Coturnix japonica: one gene and its partners. The main gene of each other region encodes a partner of the protein of the gene in region 5 in a complex. Links are inferred from orthologs where the notes say so. Each region holds a gene or a part of one and is shown on either strand. Other genes may lie near its edges. The genes, in order: CNOT7, CNOT8, CNOT10, CNOT2, CNOT9 and CNOT11.

Region 1 (3,500 bases), on a different chromosome or scaffold from region 5:
GGTTACACTGCATCCTTTAAGTTAACAGCAGAACAACACTTGATAGCTGTAGTTGCTTCTTCGTGCCAACACCTGTTGGTACACAGGTTGCAGGCCTGACATACCTCAGCTCTTCTCCTGAACAACCCGAGTTATTCTGCTGTTGTGATGTGTAAATTATAAATTTGCACTTAATAATGGGTTTAAAATGAGGAAAGAAACTTAATTCAACACCCCTTCAGAATCTGGGGCTATTTTGAAACAGTCAATGGCATTTCTTATTCCATTATTTTCCCCAAGCTGCTGCTGGAGTTGAAAGACAGAGAAAGATTATTCAAGAGAGAAGACATAACATAAGCAGACAGCCCTGAATGGAAGACACTGGAAGCAGATTAGGCAACAAGCATACTTACAGATGATTTTTTAAGAAAGTCCAACGGGAGAAGTGTTTCTACTAAGGAATATATTGCTTAATGATTTCAGACAATCAGATCTGAGTCTTTAACAGCCCTATACAAAATGTTTTTGTTTTAATATCATTATTTATAGAAATCTTTTGAACTTTACTGAATCTTAGTATAAGGGGCCATTAATTCACATACTGAGCACCACAGCTTTGCCAGGTGTCAAGACGTAACAACATGCCTTTCTAAGCCCCTACGAAGACAAAGAATCTTCATCTAAGCTTGTATTCAGATGTTACATCTGTATAGTTTCATTCCTCGTTTTTCTTTCCACAAGGGGAAGCGTACAATTACTTTCCTTGTTATGTACAATTTTCCACTTGTTGCTTAAATACTTCTGACTAAATACTTCATGCACCTTTCTCTCCTCCAAACTCCCCTTCTAATACTTCACAGTTAAGGACAAAGAATTTGGTCTGTTGTTTCCCCCCTCCAGTTTTGATAACAAACATAATACCACTCACCAATGTAACACACATGATAAATATGAATGACTGCAAAGAAACCTCCAATTTTCAGCTAAAAAATTTATTCTACTTTTGCTGACTTGCATAGAGAACAGCATTTAAGATGCCAATACATACTCAATACATAGCAAAAAGTCTCTAAACTTGCTGTTGCCTGTAAAAAGTGCAAGCTACCCCCGGCATCTAGCTGAACATGCAATTACTAATGCCTAAGTCTTAAAGGTTTAAGTCTTATTAACAGAAGGTCATAGAATCATAGAACAATTTGAGTTGGAAGGATCTTTAATGACCATCTATTTCCAACCCCCTGCTATAGGCACCTCTCTCTAGACCAGGTTGCTCAGATCCCCATCCAGCCTGGCCTTGAGTGCTTCCAGGGAAGGGGAATTCACAGCCCCACTGGGCAACCTGTTCAAGCATCTCACCGCCTCCAAAGTAAAGAATTCCTTCCTAATATCTAGTCTAAATCTACCCTCTTCCAGTTTAAAACCATTTTTCTTCGTCCTGTCACTACATGCCATTAGGAAAAGCTCCTTTCCAGCTTTCCTGTAGGCCCCCTTCAGGTACTGGAAGGCCACTATAAGGTCCTCCCCCCAAAGCCCTCTGTTCTCTAGGCTGAAGAACCCAGCTTTCTCAGCCTGTCCTCACATCTTGACAGATTCACAGAATTTTGGCATTCTCATTTCTATTTCTACTTGGAAAATATGTTCCTGCAATAGAATGAATGATAGAGTATATTCACTGCTGCTGCTTGAATTAAGACTTCTACCAGGGCTCTCCTAAACTGAAGAATTTTTATCTGCCCATATTAACAGATCTACAATAAGTATAACTCTGCTTCCTAAAACTCTTTACTAATAATTCTGTGCTATTGCCCATGAAACAAGCTATATTTGCTCAGGAAATGCTTACAAATAGTTTGTTTTTAAATCACCACTACTATTATTATGCAAACACACCCGATATTAAAGACACAATGCCACCTGCTGGTCTAGGCGTTCCATGCATTGTTTGCTTACAGTTTTGCTGTTAAAAAGCCATTATCGATGCCATTACCATCCCATACACTCTACTTTTCTAACACACAACACCATACATTGCAGAAATAGTTTCCTAAGTCTTACCAATTAAGATATATGATATGTACCTGCAGATGTACGCTGCTTAAAACAGGAGACATAAAACCCGGTTACCAAAACAGACAACAATTACTTAACATGCAAAATTTACCTGTGAAATGAAAGCCACTTGACTCCTTCACATAGTACAACTCCTGATGTCATTAGCAGTTCTGCGAAGTATTGCGTCTCAATTCCTTCTTCCTCATGCTTTTTAAACTGGATACCAGACGTTGTTAACAGCTCGATAGAGTCCTGTGCATACATATCTTCTCTAAAAACAGAGAGAACATTTTTTCAATCTACAGGCTTCGCTGATTACAAATCCATTAACACTTCTTTTTCCCCATCCATTACACAGACTATAATAGCAGTAGAGGTGCAGCAACTTGAATTTGTTCCTTGTTTATTATAAAAAGGACCACTTTTCATAGCTTTGTTAACTTTCATTAGCAGTCAATTATTCCTAGCAATTCTGTTCCAGTCTCCATCACAAAAATCTACTTCCTGTTCCTCTTCTCATTACACAGAACTCCCTTTTTGCAGACTCTGCGTGTACAAATGTAGTTACCTTACAGTTTAAGGTAACAGATCTCATTCAGTAACAAAACAGTTGGAGCACTGACACCAGCTATATTAAAGATTTAACATCAATATCCAAATTCCAGTGCTGGATCGGTTCTGCTTTCAAACCCCTTCTTTTTATCTGTAGTTTAAGCTTGCATCAATTCTCATCAAACCCCCTCATTACAATTAGAAATTCAGTACTTGCCCCAGTAAGTCAACTCTTGAAATTCAGTCTATCATTTTTGTTCTAAATCATCAACTTCAGCTTCTCTTTAACAGACAGATTTTGAACCTACAGTTCAACAGGGAGGGAAAAAAATCCCAATGTGCTTTACTTGATCCCTTTTATTACTGCATTTGTTTCATTCACCACCCCCATTTTTATGAACTCTTGGGTATTTTGTAATGAAATGGATAAAACTTTAAAAGTACAATCTAATCTTCAAAATCACTGAAATATATAATGGGGAAGAAAAAAACAAACAAACAAAAAAAAAAAAACAAAGCTGGCTCTACTTAGATGTTATCCGTATTACTGTCTATAACATATTCTTTCACAAAGTCTCTCCACTATACGCTTTTCTATTTTACTGGGGAAAAAAAAACACCTCAAGAAATAAAACAGATACGCACTGGACTACTAGGTTCAGCTGTAGATTTACATTTCTTATTCCTAATAGCAAGTCATAACTCATCAAGAGAGAAATGCATTCTCAGGACTTGTATCTTTTTTTCCTTCTCTCCCACACAGCTGCTCATTAGTTCCCCAGCTTTAAGGCATCAGCTTCCCAACACCTGTCCATTTCCATAACACATTAAAGAGCCATCCAAAACAAACATGCCTATCATGCTCTAAATAAATAAATAGAAGTTCATTTCTAGTCTGTTCCTCTGCACTAATCAGG
Region 2 (4,061 bases), on a different chromosome or scaffold from region 5:
ACATTCGTCTCATTAGGGTGTTTTTCTATACTTACAACCTTCTTTTCCATAGAGGAAGATAACAGCAAAACACGCACAAAATACAGATCACAGAAGGTGCTGAGATAAAATGAAGTACCAGTACTTAAAGTTCGCCTTTACAATTTAAAACTTATATTAAGAACTGCACAGCTGCTAAAATCCATCTCCTTAAGGTCTGTTAGTCTCTATGGTCCAAAGCAGCACTATTTAAGCCAAAAAGAGGCATCTTGTTCTGTAGTACCAGTAATCACCTCAGACCTACCTGTGAAACGACAGCCATTTCACGCTGTCACTAAGGACGACCCCTGAAGTCATGAGCAACTCAGCAAAATGCAGGGTATCAATCCCTTCTTCTTCATGCTTCTGGAACTGCAGCCCAGAGCTTGCAAGGAGGTCTATGGAATCCTGAGAGTACATATCCTCCCTGAAGGAGAAAAGCAGAGCTTTGCAGTCAGGGTGCTAACAAGGAAGGCTCATTGCCAAAAGATTTCTCACAAGTTGCATTTTGGAAAATCAGAGTGACCTGCAGGCAATCCATCTCTGAGCTCCATGGCTGTGTCTCTAGGAAGCTCAAATCACTTTTAATACCATTACTCCTATGCATTTAACAAGCTATTCTGCAATCTTAACCAAATATTAATTCTGTCGCTATTGCCAAACCTGAAGAATGCCATAAAACCTTCACACAACAGACATCTTGAAAAGTAACACTGAGGGAACAGAAGTGCCACAGATGATGGGAGAGAAGTCAACAAAACTCATATCAAACACGATAACTTTGAGTCACAGTGTCAATAAAACTCAAACCAAACATGATAACTTTGAGTCAAATAGCGTTCAGTGTCAAAACCTCTTTGTTATGACTCCAATGCTTTTAGGAGGCTGACAGTTGTGCAAGTAAACACTGCCACTTCTGTTTGCAAGAACTGCATGATCAGCTTATAGTAAGTATATAGTAAGTATACATGCATTTAATTGATTACATAAAATATATGGAAATGTATAAAAAGCACGTAAAGTTTGAGATCATAACATCATTCCAGAAATACTGCAATGCCTGTCATGCCGGCATTGAGCCTCACATAATCTCTTCTGGTGTTGCTCCCTAATGCAGAAGACTCACGTGAGGTTGAATTTGAAGTTAAACTGCCAGGTGTTGATCCCAGAAGGATACTCTCCTTTCTCGTTTGTGAAAGTCAGGCCCAGTTGGATGATTTTCAGAAGGTCCACATTACAGCGAAGAAGCTGATACTGATAGTCTATGGAACTGCGGAATTCCCCAATCGGCCTTACAACAACCCCAGGAAACTCCGTGTCCTAGAAAAGGAAGAGGAAACCTTATGGCTGCAAATCAAGGCAGACCCTAACGACAAAGCAAGCAATTTGTGCTCTCAAGTCAAATGACATCAATTGACTCAGAACACACAAAAACTTTCATAGAGGATCCAGCACATGAGAGAATTTTTGCCTTCACATCTTCCTGTACCCACTGCCTCAGCACAGCAATTACAACAGGCCAGAATGAGATGATATTGAAGCAAGGCAGCTCGTTTCCAATCAACATACAATATGAAATATGTAGATACACATTTACTGTTTACTTACACAACTTTGTTCTGCGCTGAATTCTATGCGCTCTGAAGGCACGTGTATTTTTACATCATGCTTTCATTACAAATTTCTCTCCTATCTTTGAGTTTAGCATCCCCACTCAAAGCTGTCATAACCACCACAGAATCATCGACTCTGGAAAAGATCTCTGGGTCCAACTATCGTTAGCCCCTATTCCTTGAATAAGACAAATGAGTCAAGCATTTACCATTGCGATGTAGCTGTAACTCAGCACAATCTCTCGGATTTTCCTCATCTCCTCCTCCAGGTTGTTGGCCCACACCTCACAGATCACCTGGCTGTTCTCCGCCAGGGCTGCTGGCATCCTGCCGGGCACAGGGCACAGCCAGCTCCCCCCAATCCTTCAGATGGCCGCGTTACAACCGAAAGCTGCGAGATCTAATCAGTGTGCTGCAAGAAACAGACAGAACGGAGCTATGAGTGAAAAAAGAGCTAGAAAAAAGGAACGAGCTGCACAATACAGCACAATACAGCACAGTACGGCACAGCACAGCACAGTACGGCACAGTACGGCACAATACGGCACAACACGGCACAATATGGCACAGTACGGCACAATATGGCACAGTACGGCACAATATGGCACAGTACGGCACAATATGGCACAGTACGGCACAATATGGCACAGTACGGCACAATATAGCACAATACGGCACAATATAGCACAATATAGCACAGTACGGCACAATATGGCACAGTACAGCACAACACGGCACAATACGGCACAGTACGGCACAATATGGCACAGTACGGCACAATACGGCACATCATCACCACCATCGGCCTCCCCGAGGCAGCCGCCAACAAACAACGGCCCAGCGCCGCCCCAGGCCCGGTTGAGGCCTACACGACCCGCGCCGCCTCAGGGCAGGGGCCCACCCGGACACGGCCGCCACCGCCGCCCTCCACCGCACCGCGAGAGGCCCCGCACCTACCGGGACCTACCGGGACCCGCTGGGACCCTCCGTGCCTCCCTTTCCCGTCCCGTCCCGCCCCGCTCTCCCGCTGCTCCGCTCCCCATCTCCTTCCCCTCCCCCAGGCGCTACCTGCCCTACCCGGAAGTTGTGGCCGTGCCTCTCTCTCTCTCTTCAGCGCATGCGCGATGACGCCTCAGGCTGAGGTGGGATTTCCGGGTTTGGAGCTTTGTTCTCGCGAGATTTCCGGTACAGCCTCAGCGGCGCGCGGTGCGGTGTGTGGTGGCGCGCGCTTGGTGCGCGCTCCCGCGGAGGGGGAACGGGGAAAGCTGCGCATGCGCAGTGCTGGTGTCCTTGTGTGTCCGGCCGTGACGTGGCGCTGCGCTGTGACCCGGTGTATAAAGCAAAGCAAGGCATCCTTTAATCTTAAAGGCTGTAAATCCCTCAGATAGAAGCTATATCTGAACTGAACGGGGGTTAAAATGAACGCTGACATTGCACAGTTCACTCTTATCGCCTGCTTTAGCATATTAGATGAATTATGTCACCAGAGCGAGCCTAAATAACATGCAAATAACCCAAATAACTGGGCAACCTGTATATGGGGTAAGTGGTGCAGATTGGGGCCATATCTGCATCAAGTTACACCTCGCAGTGCTGTAATTACAGGCGTTGTGGTCTATAAGTGCATTGAAACACCACTGAGCACAACCACATCGGAACCTGTTTGCATCTCATCCCATAGACAGGACCTATAGACGGAGCTTTGATGCAGGGACAGCTGGTGCAGGTTATATATGTAGTGAGATGTGCTGCTGGCTTTACAGACTGCCCCGTAACTCACACGCATTGCACAAATGCGCCTTTGAGCCATTCGGTTGCATTGGCATCAGCTGCTTTGTGCTGAAAACACTAGTTAGTTTCTGGTAGAAATGACTTATCGTTAAGGTATAGCTGCCTTTTTTATTCACATATACAGCCATTCAACCCTGATGACAAACTCCTACCTACAGAGATGTATTCTGAGCACTGGGCTGAGTGGCAACAGGGAGCAGTGCCAGCACTAACAGTGACACGGTGCTGGCTTCACATGACTTGTCTGGGAGGGGACAGCCAACTCCTGCTTGGAAACACCCCGCTGTTAAACCCTCATAAAGTCTCCCCAGCAGTAGTGAAAGGTGAGGAGTTGTACTGTGTACAAAGGACCTCTACTGGGCTACAGCCAGCAGGAGGTGAGCAAAGAGACGGAGCTCAAAGGTATCGTGGCTTAAAAATACCCGATTGAAACCTTAGAAATAACTAAAGGGCAATGTCCTGTGTATGTTTAAAATACAACTGTAAGCTTTTCCAGGAGCTGTAATTGCCTTCTGAGCTATGCAGGGCTTGGCACAATAGGGGAGCCACCAGACACAGCATCTAGTCCTGTATCTGACTGTACAGCGTGGCTGATGCACAGCTTTTGTGGACAGCAGGTAGGTTATCCTTATATTTTCT
Region 3 (3,500 bases), on a different chromosome or scaffold from region 5:
GGGAAAGTTAGGAAAGGTGTGTAACCTTCCTCTTCTGCCGGCCTGTGTTAAGCAGACATCCAGGGGCTAAACTGGAACTCAGTCTGAAGATGAAGTGAGAGACAAACATAAAAAGGTGGGCCACGAGTTAGACAGGCAGCTGCTCAGTGTACGTGTGATGGAGACAGATTGTGGAAACTGAGGAAATAAAGAATCTTGAAGCTTGATATAATGACGCCAAAAGAACAACAGTTTTTGTAGAAACATGTTTGTAATAGTTAACTGTTCTATTTGTTCTTTCTCCATTGAATTCTTGTTCAGTTTTAGTTAGGACCTCAGCTTTGACTTGCTTCTCATACATTTCAGTCTGCATGACAAATGGAGTTGGTGTGGAGCTGTTTACTTGTGTTGGTCAGGGAAATCCTACATTGCTCTCTAGACTCAGAGAGAGGAGGAGGCTGCCATTAAAAATTATTGACTTATTAGAGGATACAAAGTTTAAACTAATCCCTTTGTGATGCCTGCTGTTTCCAGGCGGGAAATTATGATGCCTGTTTGCAACACCTGAACACCCTTCAAGACATAAACAAAGATGACTACAAAATAACTTTGAATACTGCAGTTGCAGAGTTTTGTAAAAGTAACCAGACCACAACAGACAATTTGAGACAAACCCTGAACCAGCTGAAGAACCAGGTAATGCAACCACTGCATGATATTTAAGCATTGTTAATGGGGATGGGATCTTCCAGTGAAATAGGAAGACAAGTTTTGCCTCTTCCCTTTGTTAACTTGTAACTGTTACTGCCCTATCTTTAGGCTCATTAGTACCTTTGGATTATTTTTCTATAATAAACATTTGATGCTTTAACATCATAAGTTTGGAAAGCTTAAGGATAAACAAGATTCAGTTCTGTGTGTTTTGGGTTTTTTTTCAGGTTCACTCTGCTGTTGAAGAAATGGATGGTTTAGATGATGTTGAAAATAGTATGCTTTACTACAATCAAGCTGTTATTTTGTATCATCTGCGTCAGTATACTGAAGCTATATCAGTTGGAGAGAAGCTGTACCAGTTTATAGAGCCTTTCGGTGTGTAGGCAGAAGAGTTTTGTTTGTGCAGTAACGAGGCAGAGTAAATGATCTTCCTCTGCTTATCAGAAAAGTGACTTGTAAACGTACATAATAGTAATAAAAAAAAGACAGGCTTAGGAATGATGAGTAATCTTTACTTATAAGGACAGCATTTGAATTTGGGTGGGAAGGTGCTTCAGAGACACTTAGCAGATGAGTATAACAAAACTAAAACAGATATTTGACAACTTCAGGAGGTATTTTATGAAGCAACAGGGATGAAGTGTTTGTATGTGTGGGTCTCAACAAATCCAGTAAGTATAATGCTGTTTCTCCCTCAGTTCTCAGTATGCCTGTGTGGAGCTTACTCTGTGAAACCAGCCATGCAGAGATGTGTTTGTATGGAATCCTTAAGTTCTGTAAGATTCTGTATAGGCTTATGGCCCATCAGTCTCTTTAGACGCTGGATCCTTGGTGCCAGTGTGCTTAGATCAGTACTCAAAATCAATGTGAAGTGATTTTTAAGCTGTCTTTGGTCTTTGCTTTCAGATGACATGGGTATGAAAGAATTACCTCTTTGTGTTAACATACTTGTCTGTGTGATGTAGGTGTCTGCTTTTTTATCTTTTTTTCTTATTTAGTATTTGGTTTTTCTCATAACATTGTGTAGATGCACTTTGCAGCTGTTAAAGTGGTTTTCTAATTATTGCTTTTTTTGTTCTGTGATTGTTTAGATAGGAAGGATCTTACAGTCCTAATACTGATCTACTTTTGTTTGATATAGAGGAGAAGTTTGCCCAGGCTGTGTGCTTCCTGCTTGTGGACTTATACCTGCTGACTTACCAGGCTGAGAAGGCCTTGCATCTCCTTGCTGTCCTGGAAAAAATGATTTCACAGGGCAACAATAACAGCAAGAATGGAAAAAATGAGGTAAGCTTAAAATGGCATGAATGCCGCTGTCTTTACCAAAGGTATGTTTTTATTAAATCCAAAAGTAGTCTTTTAAAATAGTTCAGAATTTTAAAGCTGTTAAGATATCTGTAACTTCAGACAACTGCCACATTTTAATAACCAAGTTAATTGTGTACAGTAGCTGTATGTTCTTTCCTTCCCACCCTTTTTGTGCCAAGAGCTAAGAAGTGTCCCAAGTCAGAGACTTATATTAGAAAGTCAGTTGTCTTCAGTGCCAAATATACTTGGTTTTCCTGGTGTCCCAGATGACGACTGTGTGATACTCTGTGTTTGAAATGTCAGTGAAATTAGTGCCACAGGGTGAGAAGTCAAAAATTCCTTTAATGTATTGTCTGGAAGTATGAGGTGGGCTTTCAAATGCAATCTTTGATATGTACCTTTTGGAAACTACTATAGAATGGGTAGTGGCTTGGAAGTGGAAAGTGGACACTTTTGTCTTCTCCTGTTGATAAAATGTCACACTTAAGATACAACTTTATTTTTGAGTATATAATAGTTCTGCCAGAGAAAATATGGAGAAGAGAATCAGGAGCATGCAAACTATATTTCTGAATAAGAGCATTCTTAGAATTCCTCAATGCTGGAGCAGATTAGCGTAATGCTAACCTTCATATAGAGCTCTGTACCTCATAGGCTGATGTCCTCCTTCTTTGGTTTTGATTGCAAAGCTTAAGTTACAAGTTTTTGGTGGAATATATGGACATTTTTGTATTTGTTTGTTTTTCTTTTAACATTATTGAATATCAGTTTTCATCATTAAAAGAGATTGTTTTTACCAATCACCTTTTAAGTTCAGTTTACGGTTTCCTTCATAAGCTCCTAATGCTTTTTTATTTATTTCTGTTTTTTGTTTTCTTTTGACAGTCAGGTAATAATACAAATAAAGATTCCTCCAATCAAAAAGCTGAAAGTGGAGCTTTAATAGAAGCTGCTAAATCTAAAATACATCAGGTGGGTGTGTGTGTGATTTGTACAAGAATATCCATTCAGTCTTCCTTAAAACTGAGAGCTGCCTGCCTCAAATCTAGCTCAGCATGAATTGTGATATTGTCATCTTCAATTTCATTTTGTAGGTCAGAAAAATGAATTTAACTGACCCTTTTTTTTAAGATCCACGTACAGGAGAAACTGACCTAAGAAAAATCCCAGTTTCAATACCTACATCTTAACATAATTTTGTTAAATGGCATTTAGCTCTAATAATCTTACATTTGTTTGTCTGCAAGACAGTCTAAATCAGTGAGGTTTTATTTCCCAGTACTGCTCTTTGGGAAAATGAGTGAAGAAACAATATGCTTCACTATCACCTTTTGCTTATTGGTTGAACAGGTAACTGTCTGGGATTTACAGGTTAAATTATTTTAATTAATTTGTTGTTTTATGTGCTGATGTTTTGGTATTTGAATGTAAAGCTGTTGAATGTTTGCCAGTGAATAAAATGCACGTTTGCCTCTTGCAGATAGGAATTGTATAAATTT
Region 4 (3,500 bases), on a different chromosome or scaffold from region 5:
GGCCAAGACACAACGGCCGCTCTTTAAGAAATGCCTCCTATTTTACTGTGTTATCCCACAACATCAGAAGCAGATGTTGGTGGTATGGCAGTGGGGGCTGAACCATCCCACCAATATTCTGTTACATGTTGTTGCTGTGTGACAGAAGGCAGCAGAGGGGCAGTCTGACACAATGGCACCTGAGATGGAAGCACGGATAAGCAAAGGTGTGGAAGTGAATTCCTCCATCTGGAATAAATGGCTTCCATTGGAACTTACTGAATGTTTACGGAGACCAAACAGTGGGTGTGAGCACACTGAGGCAGTGAGTGGGTCACCTCAGCTGGTGCAGATTTTGACAAGCATGGCATGCAAGGTCTTGCTCATCATGGGCAAATATGCATAGCTAACAGCAGTGACTATGTTGAAAAATGGTGTTTCGTAGCTGAGAATTTGCTCCATCAAATTCTCTGTTGTTATAGTTGTTATAGTCTCTATATCTGTTGTAGTTTCCATGGAAATAAAATAGGAGGCATTACTTTCAGAGTGGTCTCTGACCAAAGTCTTCTCATACTCCAAGAACACAAATTACTATTATCAAACCTCTATTGCTGTGATGAAGAAAGAGGTTACTTATGCCTACATCATAATGCAAAGATACAGAATTAAGAAGACTGATCAAGTTTCAGATAACTGGCATCCATTTTTTTTCATTTGATTAGTAAAAATACTACACTGGGTTAGAGGTAGCATTTGATTGCCAGGAGTGTATTTGAGCTCAGTCCCCTAGCCTAGGGCATGAAGCGAGAAAGAGGAATGACCTGGGAACACAGGGATCATGAGGCTCCGGAAAGAAGTCTGGAAAACAGTCAGCTGCATGAAGCTGATTACACACTATGTAATTGGAATTGACACACATTTTATTACAAGGTTATCAATATAAACTAAGCATAAACATATCAACAAGACAGGTAAAGCACAATGATTTCTGATGCCACAATCTTGCCCAGAGTTAGAAAAAAAGAGCAGAAGTAACTGAGAAAATTCTGGCATCAAAACAAGCACCTTGGATGAGTTGCAAACCACTGCTTTCCATATTATTCCAGAATTTAAAGTAAAATATGAGGTCTCCATTGTGTCCAAATCAGTTAACTATTCTTACAGAACCACAATTTGAAACAGTTATTCTGGATTATCTCTTGACTAAATTCTTCCCAAACTCATAGATGGAGAGTTTTCAAGAAGATGTATACATACAAAAAACAAAGTCTGTTTCAAAAATAAACTTGGGAACATACTAGAAACATCACATACTTTAAAGAAGGAATAGTAGAAATTAAGTAGTCAGAAACAGAATTTAGCTGAAAGGCTTCAAAAATGGCTGCACAACTACTGACAGCAGCTTGGAAAGTTAGCGTTGAGAGACCGGAAGACGCAAAGCAACACTTTCAAGTTTTATTCTAATGGATAAAAAAATAGACTTTGAAAGCAGATCTTAAGCACGCCCATGGCTGCACAGGCATGGTCTGACCAAACAGCCTTACCTGTTCACAGTAAAAGGTTGTCGAGAGGGTTGCTGCTTTGGCATACATATTATGCTTGGAGAGCTTCTGTTGGGGCTGCCTAACCCTGAACTGCTCATGCTGTTTGTCCTGCTGGGAATTCCAATGCCCTGACCAACCTGGGAGTGGTTCATCATATTCCTAGGATTCATAGGCAATATCCCCCTGAAAGAGAAAAACCATCCACAGAGATGAATCTGTACAATAGTATTTGGTTACTCATTTAAATTACTCATGTAGGATACACTTAAGAGTTGTAGCAACTTAATTTGTGCTTAGACTCAACACTGTATGTTTGGAGTACTCTCTATAATTAACGTAGTTTTGGATTTCTTCAGAAACACCAGATGACCCATTGCGTACCAATCAAGTCCTCGGTCAGGTTCAGATAAATACTTAAGTACTATGCTTTTGAAGAGGCGTTACAACTCTTATTTAAAGAGCACTTCAGACCTACTACCTTAATATTTTCATACTGTAATACAGCCATATAAAAACATTTACCATTTGTTTACCAGAACAACTGAAAAACAGACTCTTACATTCTGAAGCAGAATTTGCCAACAACTTTACATCCTTTACATACAAAATCAAACACTGTCTTAAGTTAAGTCTTATCCTACCGTTTTACGGTATTACTTACCTAACACAGGCAGTGGTCAATAAAAAATTACTGTTTTTCTTTTTTAATTAATCAGTCTAAAAGTAGCTGTGGCACGATACGCAGAACATTTAGTAAGTGCTCTGCCGAAAGACACAATTGCAGAAACATTGGCTATCAATAAATACCTGCTCGGAGATGGAGGCGTGTGAAGTGACATTGTTGGTACCCCTGTTGTTGGCGTTACGTGGCTCGGTAACTGAGTGCCTTGTGATAAGCTGCGATTTAACTGAGGGGTATTGTTGCTCATTCCCCTCATTGGAAGGCCTAGTGCACCTATTGAAAAAAAATTCAGAGGGGTGGAGATACATAGCGATCCGGAACAAAGTCTTAGCCATCAGGTGTGGATGGAAACAACTTATGCTGACAACCTCAAAAAGTGTAAAGACTGTAGGAAAGTGCAGCGTAATATGAAGTCCTTGCTTGCGTACTACAAGCCCAGTTACCTCACACATAGCCCCATTCTTGTCAAACTCGAGAAAGGCTCTTTAAGTCACTAACAAGATTTTGTTTCCTTTGAGATGTACTCTGAATAGAAGAGGGGGAGCTGTGGTTTTGTTGACGAGGACATCTACATGGAAATCCACATATTTAAAAAGTCGGTGTTCTGAGAAAATAAACATCTCCACTGAAGAACGAGGTTATTGCAATTGAATAAATGGATACATATTTGGCCAGCATCTAGAACGTCCATCTAGCTTGTCAAAAAATACGCAAACCTATAACTAAGAAAAAATAAAACTAGGAATATTTCATAACATGGCTTTCAGAGCATCGGAATGAATATTTTAGGACACTTCTCTATAAAGTCTGAGTTGCTTCTTTTTGTTAAGGCAATTACAGTGTCCAAAGTCAGGTTAAACTTAATTTTTTGAGGACTGAAAGCAAGTAGAATTTAAGCATCCTCAACTAGGAATTAAAAGCACACAGGGCTGGTTTGGGGGCTTGCTTGTTTTGTTTTTTTTTACATTGTCATAAAAATTATTTTCTATGCAAGCATTTGGGTGCTGTGAAATTACGAAAGTACTTTATTAACGCGCGATAAAAAGAAACCATCTCAGTTCAGAAGAACAAAAAACAACCAGTCTCAAAACGTCAGAATACTTTACAGAGCTTCTGATCGTTTCCACGTTCCTTTTCTGTATTCATGAAGTTTTAAAATTATGTCCAAAGACAAGAGAAAGCCATTTAGTGCAGCAGATCAACAGAAACATGCTTGCATCTAAAACGCGATAGCTATAAATAACAGTCCTATCGCTTTGGTGTGAGGCTGCTGAGGAAGCCTCAGAGAATTTAAA
Region 5 (4,147 bases):
GCTCTTTGCGGATGTGGGGATGACTTTGTTTTGAATTCTTGGAGCAAAGAGGAATGCTGCTCCTGTGCCTAGAGGCAGAGCACACGCACTTCATTCATACCATAGCTGCTGGTACTCCTCTAACTCAATGAAGGGGAAGCAGCTGAAGGTGAGAAATCCAATTCAGAAAACTGTCTGTTTCCAGCTATGGCTCCCTTAGCATTTTCTTCACTTGTTTCAGGGCCACCCTGTTTTCACAGTCTGCCATTGCCTATCCTGCACCATTTTCCTTTCTTCTTCAAATGAAATGACAAGATCCAGCAGAGGTGGGCAGACATCAGCTGTAGTTTACCCAGAGCTCAGCTGAGCCACTCGCTTTGACCAGAAATGCACTTAGTTTTCTTTGCAAGGTACTCTGGAGCAGTGAGCTACAAGTACTTCCATACTGCCCCCATGAGGGCTCTGTAATGGCAACCTTTTGATCAAGTAGTACTCAGACTCATAGGAAAATAAAGAAAAAAAACTCCACAGCACAAAGCAGAGATGTTAGGAGTAAAACTATTGTGGTTCTGCTATGCCACTACAAATAGAAAAGGAATATTATCTACAAGAAGTTCATACACAGAAGAACTCGGCTACTCCCCTTTCACCTGTCTAAGCCATCTCATCAACAATCTTATGGCCTGGTCTCTAAGGACATTACCTTGCAAGAAATGACTAATGGAAAACATTAGAAGTGCCCTCCTTGTGTGGTTCCTCTCACCATGTGATCCAGCAGCCATCATACTCACAGTAATTGCACGAAGGGACTATCAGCGCCTCCCCAGATCCACCCCGTGGCCACACAGAGCTGTGCAGTGTGGCAGCACTGTGCCACGAAACAAAGCTGAGCTCTGCCCTACCCACCTGAAGGAGTGCTGCAATGGTGCCAAATGAGTGCCACAGCATGGGGGCAAGGTCAGGCACAGACTCGCGCTTCTTGCTCAGCTCCAGCAGTGCATTCTCCCTCGTCTCAGGGCTGGACAGCTCGTTGATCCACTGGTAGATCTTCTCACGGTCCACCTGAGCCAGTGCTGTAGGCACAGGCTGGGAGGGAGACAGGAAAACTTCAGTCACAGCTGTTACAGCAAAGTCCCACCCAAACGCTTCTCACAGCCTCAAAGGTAAAGAAATAAAAAGGTCTTGAGGAAGTGGCTGGGGGAGGGAGGGACTCAAGCTGCATTAAGAAACTGTGGATATAGATGATCCTTTAGATTAAGCTTAGTCCTTCGCCTAGCTGAAAGACAGATGTTTCACTTTCTGGCCTACACAGACAGCGTGGTGATACAGACCAACTATTTGGAGGCAAACATGCATTAAAGCAAATGCTTCATGTACCACAGTGCCAGCAATGCTCCTTAGTGAACACAACAGAGCTCAGGAACTGACAGCAACAGGAACCCAAATGAAGTTCCCATTGCTGCTGGAGGGAGACCATGTCTTTGGGACACCCCCCCAGAGCCTTCCTTCTCTCTCCTATTCCTACAGCAGTTTCCCTGCTCAGCTACCCGCACATTATGCTTATGATCCTGTGGGATATATAGAGGATTGAAGTTGCCATTTAGGCTACAATATAAGCTGATATGCTGTTACCAATCCCGACATCTCAGGCCTCTAATACCTTCTACCTGCTCACCTTTCCTCCTATCCCCTTTTTTTACCTCATCTACTCTATTTTACTTCATTTCCCCCCCCTAGAACCTCACACAGAAATAATAACCCTAACAATCTGCTGTACAAGGAACACAATCCCAATGGTAACACCGATACCACAGCTGGGAGAGAGAGGGCGAACAGACTGAGCTCATTTGTTTCCATTTGGGATGGCAGTGCAGCACTAACGTTGTTATAGCCATGTTATCTAAAGCTTCCATCTATTTTGCCAGACTCTCTGTAAGTTTCAATTCCTGCAAGCTTAAATATATCGACCCTTTAAAAGCACAACGGTGTGTCTACGATCCCTAGGGAGCACTAAGCAGATTTTCCAAGCTATTAAGCTTACAATGTCCAGTATCAGTCTTATCTCACAGAATCACAGAATGACCCGGGTTGGAAGGGACCTCAAGGATCATGTAGTTCCAACCCCCCTGCCTGGCAGGGCCACCAAACATACACATTTACTAGATCAGGTTGCCCAGGAGACCCCATAGACCCCCATAGAGACCCCATAGACCCCCATAGACCCCCATAGAGACCCCATAGATCAGGTTGCCCATGGCCCCGTCCAACCTGGCCTTGAACACCTCCAAGGACGGGGCATCCACAACCTCCCTGGGCAGCCTGTTCCAGGCCCTAACCACTCTCCTAGTGAAGAACTTCCCCCTAACATCCAACCTAAATCTTCCCTCTTTCAACTTAAAACCATTTCCCCGTGTCCTGCTATCTCCCCAGCCCAAAGGCTCTACTATGCTCAGTCACCATTCTAGCTAAAACCAAAAGCCGCATTTCCTCCTCATTTCCTCTTTCCTTGTTGCTCACCCTAAAGCTGTGTGGAAGCCCAAGGCCTACACACAACTTCTGAGGCGGCCTCCCCCCCCCTCGCCCTCCCGCCGTCTCCTGAGACCCGAACGAGGAGCTGGGCCGCCGAAGTAGCCCTTAGAGCCCCGTTACCCCCCCTAGAGGCCGATCCCCGTCCCGGTGCCGTCTCACCGCTGCCGTGCCCAGGCTGTGCATGGTGCCGCCGCTCAGGCCCCCGCCGCCATAGAGACACACCGGGAAGGGGACGCGGCCTGCAGGAGGGCGAGCTGCGCATGCGCACAACCCGCAGCGGGCAGCAGGCCGCTCTCTAACTGCGCATGCGCGCCGGTGGGAGGGGGGAAAGGCAAAGCACCGCTTCTGAGCATGCGCAGTTGCGGGGCGTGCCGGGAATGGCGCCGCCGTGCTGACGTCAGCGGCGCGCGCGCGCGCCTGCGTGCCGTGCGTCGCGCGGGGAGCCGGTTCCCGCCATCCGGCGCCGCGCCCCGCAGGTACCGGGAGCCAACGCGGCCCCTCACGGCGGGGCCTCGCACCGACACACCGTGACGGGGCCGCGTCCACAGGGGCCGCCTCCCCCTTCACCGACCCCACTCAGCTTCTCCCCGCTTTACTCCCGGGAAGGCCGCGGCTCGGCGTGTCGGTGAGTGCCGGTCCGTGGCGGTCCCGCTCCACACGTGTTGTGATCCCCGCAGGTTGTGTCGGTGAGGCCCCGCCATGGCCCTGCTGAAAGTACACGGCCCCGTGAGGCTGTACTGCATGCAGACCGGAGTGACCAGGTGGAAGGAGGGCTGCTTCGAGGTGGTGGAGAAGGATAACAAAGTCAACCTGGTGGTGCACTACGGCATGAGGGGCATCCCAAAGACCTTCCAGGTGGGTGCTGCCGTGCCCGGTTACCGGCTGTCACTGCTCATACTGCCTCCTTCAGTAGGGCCATCCCTCGGTGTAGCATTGAGTTACTCAGTTCTGGTGTTATGGCATCTGCTGGATCAGAAGGGCCGAGCTGCAGGTGTGGAGCCGTGGCTCAAGTCTTGTTTTGGGATGTTCTCTCTTTGTGTGCAGCCTGGAGGTGGAATCCCACTGTTTGACCATGGTGCTGTGCTCCTTTATTCCTTATGTGCCTTCCCAAGGTTCTCGTTCATGCTCTGTTCTACCAGGTTGAGTTTTGCTGTTGGTAGTTTAACGCCTGGAGCTGTGGTTCTGTGGGAGCCTGCCCAGCAGCTGTCTATGCCTGCAGGGATAGGCTTTGTGTCTGCCTCTCTTCTGGCTCTGGCGCTCTGTGGGAGCTTGGAGAAGGGTTTTCACTTGGATTGGCCATCACTATTTGGATCAGCTGTGTGGCAATACTCAGGTTGGGCCACTTTAGGAGGAGGCTCCAATCTGATGGGCAGCCTCTTGCTCTGCAGTGCGAGGTTTGGCTGTGGTTTCAACTTGCAAGGATGTCATTGTGTAGCAGCGTGTAGTTCATAGGAAAGGCCACAGAAGTGACAGAGATGAATAACTAAGTGCAAAAGGACGCAGGAGTTGAAAATGACTTTTTGTATTGACACACGTATGGTTCCTTTTCCACCTCCACCTCCTTGTGAGTGACCTGGCAGGAAGCAGCAGTTGGTTCATGTCGTAATACAGTGGTGCAGCAGAATTAATGGAGAGAAGG
Region 6 (4,183 bases), on a different chromosome or scaffold from region 5:
AAAGACCTTGAAGATCATCAAGTCCAACCACAGCCTAACCAGCACCCTAACTCTAACAACCCTCTGCTAACTCATATCCCTGAGCACCACATCCAAATGGCTCTTAAACACAACCAGGGATGGCGATTCAACCACCTCCCTGGGGAAAATAATAATAATGACTTGACATGGGCTGACACTTGAAAACTGCCTTAAAATACCCAAGTGTCACTACAGTTCACAGAAGCTCAAGAATTTATCACCAACCATGTTTGTTTCTGAATGACCATGGAACAGCACATATGAAGCCATTGTAAAATCGTATCTGGGGTGTTTTTACAAAATACATCCAAGAATCGCTTGACATCTTTGAGGTCTGATGAACAAGTGAAGCTCAGGAAGGCTTTTAGGCATTGTTAGCACGCCAATATTGTTGATTACTCCAGGAGTAATAAATCTGTTTCTGTTGTCTCATGGTAGGTTTTGAACTGAAGAGCTGAACTAGGAAAGATAACATGCAATGGTCACTAGAAAGCTGCATATGGAGAGGCTCACACGAAACCTAACTTCCCCAACCCTTTTAGATTTGTTGCTATTAAAAATACACTGTAGATGGGCAGGGTCACTTAAATTACTAAGGGAAGGAATCTGTGTACAAGAGAAAAGCCTTGTGAGAATAAACAAAACAATCTGGATGTGTTCTGATTTCCCCTTTGACTTCAAGGTGTGACTTAATTCCTTCCCATCGTGTTCTTCCCATGTGAAATGTGGGATAAAAATACACCAGTGGAAGTTATTTCCTAGCTGAAGGATTCAGCTTCTTCGCTAGAAGAAACTCAAACACTTGCTGTGAAGCAGGTCAATTTAATATCACTTCTTTGCCACCTTTTTCTTTCACCTCCCTCCTGCTGCCTATTTCTGTTGCTACCTGAGCAGAAGCACCACAGATCTACTTGAGAGTGGATGAGCACCCAGACAACTTGCACACACCAGAAGCACAAAATCCGCTGCTCAGTTTCAGGTCACAGAATCTCAGAATTGTAGGGGTTGGAAGGGACCACTAGAGGTCATGGAGTCCAACCCCCCTGCCAAAGCAGGCTCCCTACACCACGTCACACAGGTAGGCGTCCAGGCGGGTCTTGAATATCTCCAGAGAAGGAGACTCCACCACCTCCCTGGGCAGCCTGTTCCAGTGCTCCATCACCCTCACTGTAAAGAAGTTCGAACTTCCTATGCTGTACTTTCATCCCATTACCCCTAGTCCTATCAGATGACAGCACCACAGGGCGGTGTGCGTGGAACGCGCTGCGCTCCCCCTACTGGCCCCAACGCCCGTCGCGCTCCGTCCCCGCCCCGCCCCGCCAGTCCCGGCCCAATGTCCCGGCCCATCCCCTGCCGTGCCGTAAAGCGCGTCCGGCGCCTCAACGCTCGGCCTTCCGGTGTTGTGCAGCGGCGGGGCCGTGCGCCGTGAGGCGGATGCCCGGGGGCGGGGGCAGCCCGGCCGAGGCGGGCGGTGAGGCGGGAGGAGCGGGTGGCGGCGGTGGAGCGGCGGGCGGCAGGATGAGCCTGTCGCCGAAGGAGCTGACGAGCCTGCTGGGCATCGTGTCGGAGGAGGCGGGCGGCAGCACCTTCGAGGGCCTCTCCAGCGCCTTCCACCACTACTTCGGCAAGGCCGAGCATTTCCGCCTGGGCTCCGTGCTGGTGCTGCTGCTGCAGCAGCCCGACCTGCTGCCCAGCCCCGCGCAGCGCCTCACCGCCCTGTACCTGCTATGGGAGATGTACCGCACCGAGCCCCTCGCCGCAAACCCCTTCGCCGCTGTCTTCGCCCACCTGCTCAACCCCGCTCCCGAACGCGGCGGCGACGAGGCGGAGCGCACCCCGCTCTCAGGTGCCGGGAACGGCCGGGGCTGTGACAGCGGGAAGGGTCACTCGTTTTGCCGTAACGTTACTGTACGAGATGATCTCTCCACGCTTAAGGAGCACGCGGGGTAGTGATGGCCTCAGGAATCTTACCGCTCCCCTCTCTCCCCGCAGGCTTCTTGCCGCCCATAACCCCGCCCGAGAAGTTCTTCCTCTCGCAGCTGATGCTGGCCCCCCCCAGGGAGCTGTTCAAGAAGACCCCGCGCCAGATCGCTGCCATGGACGTTGGCAACATGGCCCAGTCGGTGGATATAAGCGGGCTACAGCTGGCATTGGCGGGTAAGGAGGAGATGTGGCTGTGCTGTGATAGGAGAGTGGTTAGGCCCTGGAACAGGCTGCCCAGGGAGGTTGTGGATGCCCCGTCCTTGGAGGTGTTCAAGACCAGGTTGGACGGGGCCCTGGGCAACCTGATCTAGTAAATGTGTATGTTTGGTGGCCCTGCCAGGCAGGGGGGTTGGAACTACATGATCCTTGAGGTCCCTTCCAACCCGGGTCATTCTGTGATTCTGTGAAATGTTAATTGCTGTTTGACTTTGAGGTGCTTCTGTCTGTGTGGCAAAAGTTGGACTGTGGTCAGGTTTTGCAGTGTTAGCTCACACTAAATGTTCTGCCTTTACTAGGCTATAAGGAACTCAGTGCTTATTCTTGGGCAGGAATAGGATTGTTCTGATCGTGTGGAGCAACAAGTTGCATCTAGAGCTGATCTGAAATGGAAAATATTGCTTAGAATGAGTTGCCAACTCGAGCAGTTTATTTCCTAGGTACTCTATTCTGCACAATACAGTACTTGGCTTCTAAACTTCAGTTCAGTTGGTGACGTACTGTAACAGGTTGCCCAAGGAGGCTGTGGATGCCCCATCCCTGCAGGCATTGAAGGCCAGGCTGGATGTGGCTCTGGGCAGCCTGGTCTGGTGGTTGGTGACCCTGCACATAGCAGGGGGTTGAAACCAGATGATCACTGTGGTCCTTTGCAACCCAGGCCTTTCTATGATTCTATGATTCACTGTGGTAACTTTTCTTGTAGGCTCTTCTATTGAATGTCAGTTGCTGGAATAGAGCGTCTTGATTCTCCAGATCAAGAGAGCCTGATAAAACATAAGTGATTGCATTCGTAGGAATTGTTTTCTTCAATTTGAACATACTGGTTCAAGTTGCTGTGTTCTCTTCTGAAATACAACCGTGTTCTAGCTAACAGCGCTCACCCCTTCCTTCTGCTTACACTGGGCTGCCCAGGGATGTGGTGGGGTCACCATCCCTGGAGATGTTCGGGAACATGTAAGAATGTATCTTAAACTTTTGTTCTAATTAAGCATCATTAGTCATTTGAGATGAGGGGATTTGAGGGTATACAACCAATCCATGACTTTATACCTATATAGGTGTAAGTTTTAGACTACGGATGACAATGAAGGACACCCAGTATGTCACCTTGTTTTCTTCTCAGAGAACTTCTTACGTTGACTCAGCTGATCCCTGTAGGAGCTGAATGGTAGAACTCACAAGCTGGAATTTCCAACAGCGTATAAAGTTTGAGCATATATTCCAGTGTTTTGCATGGGCTGACATAATTGGAAGATGGACATTTCTAGTATAAACTAGCAGTAGGCAGAGCTTTGTGTCTGTGTCCTTTTGTTACCTACAGGAGTTTTGCTGTAAGCGTCTCTCATGGATCTGAAATAGAGTTTCATACGGATGAGGAGCTGCAAAGGGTTATATGGCTGCACAAAAAAGTGTGCTTTGTTAAAAGAGATAAGGATGGGGTACTGAAGCTGAGGGCACTACACTTAATTAATCATCCGGATAAGAAATGGTGTTGATTTCGTGTGGGACCAGCAAATTTGGCCTTCAGATTACTTGAGACTTTATCTGCTACTTAATATCCTCCTTGGGAGGGGGAGGGAAGGAACATAAGATGGCATTGTATGGCAGGCTCTTGGCTTTCCTGCATGTTGTTGGGCTTTTGTTGGTTTGCTTTTACCAAGGTAATAGAAAACATGGTTCTCACTAATACAGAGAATATGGAAGGTCAGCCCTTAAGCCTTCAGGTATGGAAGAGCGAGAGACTGTGACAGAAGAACACCTAAAATTTGACAGTGCAAATATTGATTGGTTGTAATAGTTTATTTTACCACTCTTTCACGTCTTCAGCTTCATATGCTAAATTTAGTATTACTTCTATGTACCTTGTTTATGCTCTGTAATTTGGGCTTTAGAGGGATGCTCTTACAGGACTTTATAGCTGTAACTGTAGAATCCTGTATCAATTAAACTCCTATGCAAAAGC

Evidence for each region.
Region 1: CNOT9 (region 5) and CNOT7 share a complex: the UniProt entries of both Homo sapiens proteins name them as parts of the CCR4-NOT complex. The link is inferred for Coturnix japonica from reciprocal best matches to the Homo sapiens genes CNOT9 and CNOT7.
Region 2: CNOT9 (region 5) and CNOT8 share a complex: the UniProt entries of both Homo sapiens proteins name them as parts of the CCR4-NOT complex. The link is inferred for Coturnix japonica from reciprocal best matches to the Homo sapiens genes CNOT9 and CNOT8.
Region 3: CNOT9 (region 5) and CNOT10 share a complex: the UniProt entries of both Homo sapiens proteins name them as parts of the CCR4-NOT complex. The link is inferred for Coturnix japonica from reciprocal best matches to the Homo sapiens genes CNOT9 and CNOT10.
Region 4: CNOT9 (region 5) and CNOT2 share a complex: the UniProt entries of both Homo sapiens proteins name them as parts of the CCR4-NOT complex. The link is inferred for Coturnix japonica from reciprocal best matches to the Homo sapiens genes CNOT9 and CNOT2.
Region 6: CNOT9 (region 5) and CNOT11 share a complex: the UniProt entries of both Homo sapiens proteins name them as parts of the CCR4-NOT complex. The link is inferred for Coturnix japonica from reciprocal best matches to the Homo sapiens genes CNOT9 and CNOT11.

The regions. Positions count from the first base shown.
Region 1 is NC_029519.1:56,937,584-56,941,083, reverse strand, and holds part of CNOT7 (CCR4-NOT transcription complex subunit 7), read right to left. Parts: intron 2,303-3,500; coding exon 2,141-2,302; intron 1-2,140. UniProt on the Homo sapiens protein: Has 3'-5' poly(A) exoribonuclease activity for synthetic poly(A) RNA substrate. Its function seems to be partially redundant with that of CNOT8.
Region 2 is NC_029528.1:5,997,883-6,001,943, reverse strand, and holds the start of CNOT8 (CCR4-NOT transcription complex subunit 8), read right to left. Parts: upstream 2,801-4,061; 5' UTR 2,709-2,800; exon of another isoform or gene 2,420-2,708; intron 2,044-2,419; 5' UTR 1,958-2,043; coding exon 1,841-1,957; intron 1,339-1,840; coding exon 1,145-1,338; intron 446-1,144; coding exon 284-445; intron 1-283. Other genes in the region: FAXDC2 (fatty acid hydroxylase domain-containing protein 2), read left to right, coding at 3,583-3,824, 3,910-4,039. UniProt on the Homo sapiens protein: Has 3'-5' poly(A) exoribonuclease activity for synthetic poly(A) RNA substrate. Its function seems to be partially redundant with that of CNOT7.
Region 3 is NC_029517.1:37,323,541-37,327,040, forward strand, and holds part of CNOT10 (CCR4-NOT transcription complex subunit 10), read left to right. Parts: intron 1-513; coding exon 514-675; intron 676-917; coding exon 918-1,068; intron 1,069-1,834; coding exon 1,835-1,980; intron 1,981-2,886; coding exon 2,887-2,973; intron 2,974-3,500. UniProt on the Homo sapiens protein: Component of the CCR4-NOT complex which is one of the major cellular mRNA deadenylases and is linked to various cellular processes including bulk mRNA degradation, miRNA-mediated repression, translational repression during translational initiation and general transcription regulation.
Region 4 is NC_029516.1:32,450,366-32,453,865, reverse strand, and holds part of CNOT2 (CCR4-NOT transcription complex subunit 2), read right to left. Parts: intron 2,479-3,500; coding exon 2,331-2,478; intron 1,707-2,330; coding exon 1,524-1,706; intron 1-1,523. UniProt on the Homo sapiens protein: Component of the CCR4-NOT complex which is one of the major cellular mRNA deadenylases and is linked to various cellular processes including bulk mRNA degradation, miRNA-mediated repression, translational repression during translational initiation and general transcription regulation.
Region 5 is NC_029522.1:24,240,973-24,245,119, reverse strand, and holds the start of CNOT9 (CCR4-NOT transcription complex subunit 9), read right to left. Parts: upstream 2,801-4,147; 5' UTR 2,692-2,800; coding exon 2,668-2,691; intron 1,066-2,667; coding exon 886-1,065; intron 1-885. Other genes in the region: USP37 (ubiquitin carboxyl-terminal hydrolase 37), read left to right, coding at 3,208-3,363. UniProt on the Homo sapiens protein: Component of the CCR4-NOT complex which is one of the major cellular mRNA deadenylases and is linked to various cellular processes including bulk mRNA degradation, miRNA-mediated repression, translational repression during translational initiation and general transcription regulation.
Region 6 is NC_029516.1:120,253,613-120,257,795, forward strand, and holds the start of CNOT11 (CCR4-NOT transcription complex subunit 11), read left to right. Parts: upstream 1-1,383; 5' UTR 1,384-1,455; coding exon 1,456-1,867; intron 1,868-2,013; coding exon 2,014-2,178; intron 2,179-4,183. UniProt on the Homo sapiens protein: Component of the CCR4-NOT complex which is one of the major cellular mRNA deadenylases and is linked to various cellular processes including bulk mRNA degradation, miRNA-mediated repression, translational repression during translational initiation and general transcription regulation.